2 linked regions of the Ovis aries genome follow. The protein of the gene in region 1 binds, or shares a complex with, the protein of each later gene. Links are inferred from orthologs where the notes say so. Each region holds a gene or a part of one and is shown in the gene's direction. Other genes may lie near its edges.

Region 1 (3,166 bases):
AGAGTTGACAAGGCTCTCCTCTCCAGGGTGGGGCTGCAGGGGCTCTGTCTCCGGGCTGGCTGCTGGGCTGACCCCACGGTGAGGCCACATGTAGGCCAAGGGAGGCTTGAGGAGGGATGGGCATCACTCAGATGGTGGTGGGGCTTTCCATGGGAGAGCAGCAGCGTAAGCCAGGGTGTGGAGGCCCCTGTGAGGCAGGTGGAGAAGCTCGGGAGGATGAAGTGGCTGGCGAACTGGTGGGACCAGGGTCTCATGACGCTTTTGAGGGTGGCGTGGTGGACACTTAGCGTATGAGCATCCAGGCCTGACCTGCCCGACCCCTGTCTGCCTGCCCAGTTCCGGCTGAAGCGCTGTGGCCTGGGGCGCCGAGTGTACCTGGTGGAGGAGCATGGTTCGGCGCGCAGCCTCAGCCTCCCTGAGAGCACACTGCTGCAGGCTGTCACCAACACCCAGGTGAGCCGGGAGGGCGGGCCGGGCTGGCAGGGGGCCTGCGGTCGGTGGCTCCGCTTAGGAGCTGCCTGCTCCTGTGGCTCCCCTTCCCCAGGTCATCGACGGCTTCTTTGTGAAGCGCACAGCGGACATTAAGGAGTCGGCTGCCTACCTGGCCCTGTTGACGCGGGGCCTGCAGAGGCTCTACCAGGTGAGCAGACTCCACCAGGCACCGTCTGTTCACCACCGGCCCCTCACCTGGGTGCTGTGCTCCCGCGAGGAAGGCGAGGAGACTGAGCTCCCTGGTCTCAGGCTGGCCCCCTGAGGCCTGGGATGGGGCAAGGCCTGGCTGGTGGTGGCCCCTAGAGCTCTGGCCGGGCCTCAGTCCGCTCTTCCCTCAGGGTCACACCGTCCGCAGCCGCCCCTGGGGCACCTCTGGGGACCCTGAATCAAAGGCCGGGCCCTCCCCAAACCCGCTCTGCTCGCTCCTCACCTTCAGCGACTTCAACGCGGGAGCCATGAAGAACAAGGTACCGCCTCCGCCCAGCCCCTCCTCCGCCCAGGCTCCGGCCCCCCACCACTCCTGATGCAGCACTGCCCCCACTGCAGGCCCAGTCTGTTCGGGATGTGTTTGCCAGGCAGCTCATGCAGGTGCGTGGGGTGAGCGGGGAGAAGGCAGCAGCCCTGGTGGCCCGGTACAGCAGCCCTGCCAGGTAGGTGCTCACGGAACCCCTGTCCTCTGCTGTCGCCCGCATCCCCCCTCTCAGCATGGGCATCAGCTCAACCAGTGCCTTGTGGGTGGTTGGGTGCTATGAGGGGTGGACTGACCCCGCTGACACCTGAAGGGTTCATGGAGGTCAGGTGGTGAGGAAGACAGAGCTACCCAAGACCAGACAGAATCTCGGGCACTGGGGAGGGGGAGAGACCTGGCATGTAGCAGAGAAGGGTTCCTGGAGGAGTGGGTAGACCATGAAGACTGGGCCAAGAGCAGCCGTTCTGGGAAAACACTTGCAGGAGCACGAAAGGAGGGTGAGCAGGATGGAGCAGGGCCTTGAAGGCCGGGTTCGGAAGGGCGGCCGTGGTCCTGACTCCTCCCACCCAGGCTGACCCCTTCTAGCCTGTCTCCCGTGATTCTGGCCTGAGCTACTCAGGGTGGGCTAGCAGTCAGCTGTTGTCAAGACTTAGAAAATCCAACTCCCCATCCCGCCCTCAGCTTACTGGCTGCCTATGATGCCTGTGCCACCCCAAAGGAACAGGAAATGCTGCTGAGCACCATCAAGTGTGGGCCGCTGCAGAGGTGAGGGCAGGAGGCAGAGCCTGCAGGGGGTAGGTGGGCTGCCCTCGGCCAGGGCCTGACTCCTACCTGCCTCTCTCTCTGCACAGGAATCTGGGGCCCGTTCTGAGCAGGACCTTGTCACAGCTCTACTGCAGCTATGGCCCTCTGACCTGAGCTATGTATGCCGCAAGACAGACCCCCATCTTCCCAGACCACCCAGTCTTTTAAGCAGAATCTTTGGACTACAGTAAATCTTAAGTGTGTGCATTTCTACGTGTTAGAAGGGGATACCAGGCCCCAGGGGTTTTGAAAAATATCCAGGAACTGGGGAGACTGTCATGTCCAGTTTTTAAAACTGAGCTCCTCAGGACCCTTGGGGTTCCCTTTCAGAGCACTGCTAGGGAGACGGAGTCAGGGAGGCATTGCAACGTTGAATCGAGTTCATGTCATCAGAGTTCTCTGATCAAATAAAATTTCCTTTGATGAGAAGTTCTGTAGCTTGGAAAAGAAAAGTTTATAAAGCGCTAACAATCCAGTGGCCTCATTTTATGGATTGGAACACTGAGACTCAGAGAGCTGCTAGGATTTCTCCAAACTGATAGTTTGAGGCCAAGCTGGGATTGAAACCCAGGGCCTCCTGGCACTGTCTAGAGCAGGATTCTTCAGCCCGCTGCAGACCAGCCAAGTCCAAGTTTCTGGGCTGGGGCCTGGAGTCTGCAGCCTCGTTACCTCCTCGCTGCTTGGGTGATTCTGGTGCCCATGGTATGTAGGCCAGTCCCAGCCTTGGGGGTGCAGCTCCCAGCTCCTGTCAATGGGGCCCTTCAGCCTGGGCAGAAACACGCCCTGCCTTTAGGTGGACGTGGCCCCCCTCCCATGAGCCTGGCCTTTCCCCGCTCCGGGGTTCACTGCAGTGTGACCCCCCCACCTCAGCCACCAGAACTCCTTCTTTCTCCCTTTATTGCCTTTCTCTCTCTACTACCCTTCACAAGAGCATCTTTCCTTTTAGCAGAACACAGTCATCCCTGAGCCCCAGGCTCCTCAGCTACAGAGAACCTCCCCTTCCCTGAGGGCCCCCCACCCCCCCTCAGAAGGTGTAGGCCCCCACGAAGACGGTGAGTCTCAGTACAGAGCTGGCCCGGTAGCTCATGAGGGAGTTCATGGTGACCATCTCCAGGTCCAGCACGTACTCCCGGGGGCCCGTCACAGGCCGCGCGAGGACCAGCATGGCGCTGACATTGTTGATTTGCTGCAGGGTACAGTGGGGGGGGGGGGGGGACATGTGGATTGCATCAATGTACGCACCAGAACCTACTCCCGCATGACCTCGCTGCCCCGCGTCTGGCACCCACAACCAGTTGGCTGCACAGTGGAGTGCCCTGGCCAGCCTGCAACCCCAGGCCCTCACCCAGCTCCCCGACCCCCTTGACATCTGCACCCTGCCCCAAAGAAATACCCTCCTGG
Region 2 (3,013 bases), on another chromosome or scaffold:
CCCTCGCCCAGCGCCCCTTCAAGTGCGTGACCCTCTCCCTTCAGGGAGCTGCTGGAGGGGTGGGGGCGGCAGTGTCCAAGGGCCAAGCAGTCCCAGGCTCTCTTGAGCGGGGGACGGGGTGCTCGGCAGAGGTGAGGAGCCTCTAGCACCTCCCTGCACCCCTTCCCCAGGCAGGCCCGGGAGTCTGGGGCCTTCCCCTTCTGCACCTCTGGGCGCTGGACGGCAGGCGAGCGAGTGGCCAGAGACGGCATGGGGCTGCGGGGGGCCTGGTGGCGGCAGGTCAGGCAGTTCAACCGCGTCAGCCCAGCCGTGGCCGATGCCGTTGTCAGCGCCTTCCCATCCCCCCGCCTGCTGCAGCAGGTGGGTGCCCGCCCTCACCCAGACCCCAGGTATGGGGGCCAGCTCCCAAGGCCTGCCGCTCACCCCTGCGCCCTCCCTAGGCGTACGAGGCCTGTGGCACGGAGCAGGAGCGCCTGGCCCTGCTGGCTGACCTCCCGGTGAAGACGGGCAAGAGAGCGCCACCCCGCAGGGTGGGGCCCGACCTCTCCCGCCGCATCTGCCTCTTCCTGACCACCACTGACCCCGACCTCCTGCTGGACCTGGGCTCCTGAGCAGGCCCGTGGGTTGCACAGGGCGTCCCCCGCCTGCAGGCAGGAGTGAACACAGCCTCCCAGAGGACCCGTGGGAAACCACAGGGGGTGGTGCGCCCCGAACCCGGGGCTTAGTCAGGTCTGACCCCAAGCTGGGGGATGAGGGGACGGCAGAGAGAAATCTTGCATAACTGGGAGAAGAAAATTCTTCTCTCGCCTGCGGAAGGTCTAGAGACGGTTTGGGGTGGGGCTCACGTGCCCTGAGCATGCACACTGGCCGAGGGGCTGGTAGACAGCTGGCACCAGCAGGAAGGGCTGCAGGGGCCTCGGATCCCACCGGGGAAACTCCCATCACCGGGAGGTTGGGGGGGAAGTACCTTCATTTTTAAGACAAGGTTTAGAGGGAGGAGAGAACCAGGCTACCTCTCCCCAGGGTACCGTGAGGCCCCAAGAGGAGACAAGCACGGACACCTGTGAGCCCCAGGCCTCACTTTGACCCACTTCATTCTATAGGCAGGTGGACATCAGACTTCGAGTTTATTATGGTTGCTTTCAGCCCCAGACAGGAGGAACAGAGCTGACAACATGCAAAGCAAGTTAAGAAAAACGTGAGGCCGGTGGTGCCAGGGAGAGCCCACCTCTCAAGTTGCGTCCTCCTCACAGGCAGCAGCCCATAGGCCCCCAGCCCCTTCCCTGCCAGCCCCCCAGACCTGAACCCAGACGCGCTGGGGCGGCAGCTGTTCTCATGCCCAGCACCGGAGCAGACAGGCTGGGTCTTGGGGTCACAGGGCTAACGGCTGGGAGCCCCTGTGGCGAGGCCCGCCCCAGCCTCAGGCAGCAGAGGGGCAGCGGGACAAACCTCGGCTCGGTCCTCCCCTCGGCGGCCCTGGGGCAGTCCACAGGCAGGGGCGGGGACCACGCCGTCCCAGCCCCGGGGGTCTCGATCAGGGAGCAGGCTAGGTCCTTCGGCAGCGCTTCCGCTGGCAGCGCCGGGGCTCTGGGCCGCTGGCCGCGGGCGAGGGCTCGGGGGGCTGGCGGCTCATGCTCAGGACCCAGCCCAGCTTGTGGTGCAGCACCTGCTTGAGGCCGGGCGGCAGGGGCAGGCCCTCAAGCGTGTCCCCCGAGCCGGGCCGCAGCTGGCGCAGGCGGTAGCAGCACAGGTACTGCAGGGAGGTGACGCTGGCGCACGAGCGGATCACCTTCATGCTGCTCTTGGCCGCCGTGGAGCACACCATCGGGTAGAACCTCTTGTTCTGCAGCTGCGTGGCCGCCACGCCTGGGGCGGGGGGAGGAACAGCCTCAGGGCACTCAGCCCCCCGGGGGCTCTGGCCCTGCTCCCTGGGGCCACATAGGTCCCGGCCTCACCTATGCACTTCCTGTTCTTGAAAAAGGTCAGCGTCCCGTGCCAGCTGTCCAGGTGCACGCCGATGATGGAGCCCTGGCCGAACCTCGAGGAGAAGCTCGTCTTGTCGCCCTTGTGGTGGAGGAGGCCTGGGGGCAGCAGGGTCGGGCTGAGCCCCACAGCCTGGGGGCCCCAGCCCCGCCCACCCGGGCCCTGCGCACCTGTGTAGGAGAGGCCCCAGCTGTCCTCGTCCCGGCCGAGCAGGCTGCAGAATGTGTGGTGGTACTTGTCCAGGTCCACGTCCGACGTCCCAATGCCCACCATCTGGGAACGGGAGCGGGCAGAGGGGGCAGGGGACCGAGGCGCCTGGCAGCACCCCCACCTCCTGGCCCCACCAGCCACTCACCATGTCCGTGCCGTAGACGGGCGACGTCATCTTGATCTCCCAGAAGTGCTGGCCCTCCCCCAGCTCCTTGGTGCCCCGGATGGCGGCCGTGCCACAGCTGTACTCCATGTGGAAGCTGACCTTCCGGTTGTCACAGCTCAGTAGGGTGGCCGAGGACTTGTTCAGGTCATCCCAGACCCAGTCAAAATCTGCGAGAGCGAGAGGCCCCAGCTGAGCCCCGGCCCACCCGGAGCACCGCCCACCACGCCCGGCACTCACACTCGTCCTCCTCGCCGCAGCGGCAGTCCCGGCCCCGGTGGGCGGCGTGCAGGCTGCCGCAGAAGGCCTCGCTCTGGCTCTCACAGTCGCAGAAGGACTCCCCGGTCACGGGCACGGCGCTGGGGATGGACGACGGCAGGGACGCGCACTCAGGGTCAGAGTCTGAGTCACTGTGCTGAAGGACATAGGAGATGTCGCCGCCCAACCTGCCGGTACCGGCCCAGCCACCCTCCACCCGCCTGCCCCGCTGCAGGCCCATGGCTCAACAGCCGGACGTCCCGAGGGAGAGACCTGGGGCTTGGCCTCCAGGGGACCACCCCGGCCCCGGGACACAGCCAGCCGCTGCCACCACGGACACCTCTTCTGGCCTCCTCCTCAAAGGCCGACCATGAGGAAGCTTCCTGGGAATGGAGTTGA

Evidence for each region. Proteins that work in one complex are often made in the same cells at the same time.
Region 2: the proteins of MUS81 (region 1) and EME2 are in contact, whole or in part, in a crystal structure (PDB 7F6L), measured with the Homo sapiens proteins. The link is inferred for Ovis aries from reciprocal best matches to the Homo sapiens genes MUS81 and EME2. Residues at the interface, in NP_079404.3 of Homo sapiens: His330, Glu351, Phe354, Lys357, Arg358, Arg363, Val365, Glu381, Leu385, Gln386, Thr389, Asn390, Gln392, Val393, Ile394, Phe398, Lys400, Arg401, Tyr411, Leu414, Leu415, Arg417, Gly418, Leu419, Arg421, Leu422, Pro447, Ile464, Lys467, Ala468; in NP_001244299.1 of Homo sapiens: Glu140, Arg177, His179, Glu220, Glu221, Val224, Leu225, Gln227, Leu228, Trp229, Asn231, Leu232, Asp233, Leu235, Arg245, His246, Ala249, Val250, Lys252, Ala253, Leu254, Gln256, Tyr257, Lys260, Gln261, Glu264, Gln266, Phe268, Phe270, Cys271.

What each region holds. Positions count from the first base shown.
Region 1 is NC_056074.1:40,418,210-40,421,375, forward strand, and holds the end of MUS81 (crossover junction endonuclease MUS81), read left to right. Parts: intron 1-336; coding exon 337-453; intron 454-544; coding exon 545-640; intron 641-830; coding exon 831-959; intron 960-1,038; coding exon 1,039-1,142; intron 1,143-1,642; coding exon 1,643-1,726; intron 1,727-1,812; coding exon 1,813-1,879; 3' UTR 1,880-2,194; downstream 2,195-3,166. Other genes in the region: EFEMP2 (EGF-containing fibulin-like extracellular matrix protein 2), read right to left, coding at 2,790-2,951. UniProt on the Homo sapiens protein: Catalytic subunit of two functionally distinct, structure-specific, heterodimeric DNA endonucleases MUS81-EME1 and MUS81-EME2 that are involved in the maintenance of genome stability.
Region 2 is NC_056077.1:1,876,211-1,879,223, forward strand, and holds part of EME2 (probable crossover junction endonuclease EME2), read left to right. Parts: coding exon 1-22; intron 23-170; coding exon of another isoform or gene 171-174; coding exon 175-360; intron 361-440; coding exon 441-611; 3' UTR 612-1,546; coding exon of another isoform or gene 1,547-1,866; 3' UTR 1,867-1,955; coding exon of another isoform or gene 1,956-2,526; 3' UTR 2,527-2,596; coding exon of another isoform or gene 2,597-2,771; 3' UTR 2,772-3,013. Other genes in the region: SPSB3 (SPRY domain-containing SOCS box protein 3), read right to left, coding at 1,547-1,866, 1,956-2,256, 2,339-2,526, 2,597-2,771. UniProt on the Homo sapiens protein: Non-catalytic subunit of the structure-specific, heterodimeric DNA endonuclease MUS81-EME2 which is involved in the maintenance of genome stability. In the complex, EME2 is required for DNA cleavage, participating in DNA recognition and bending.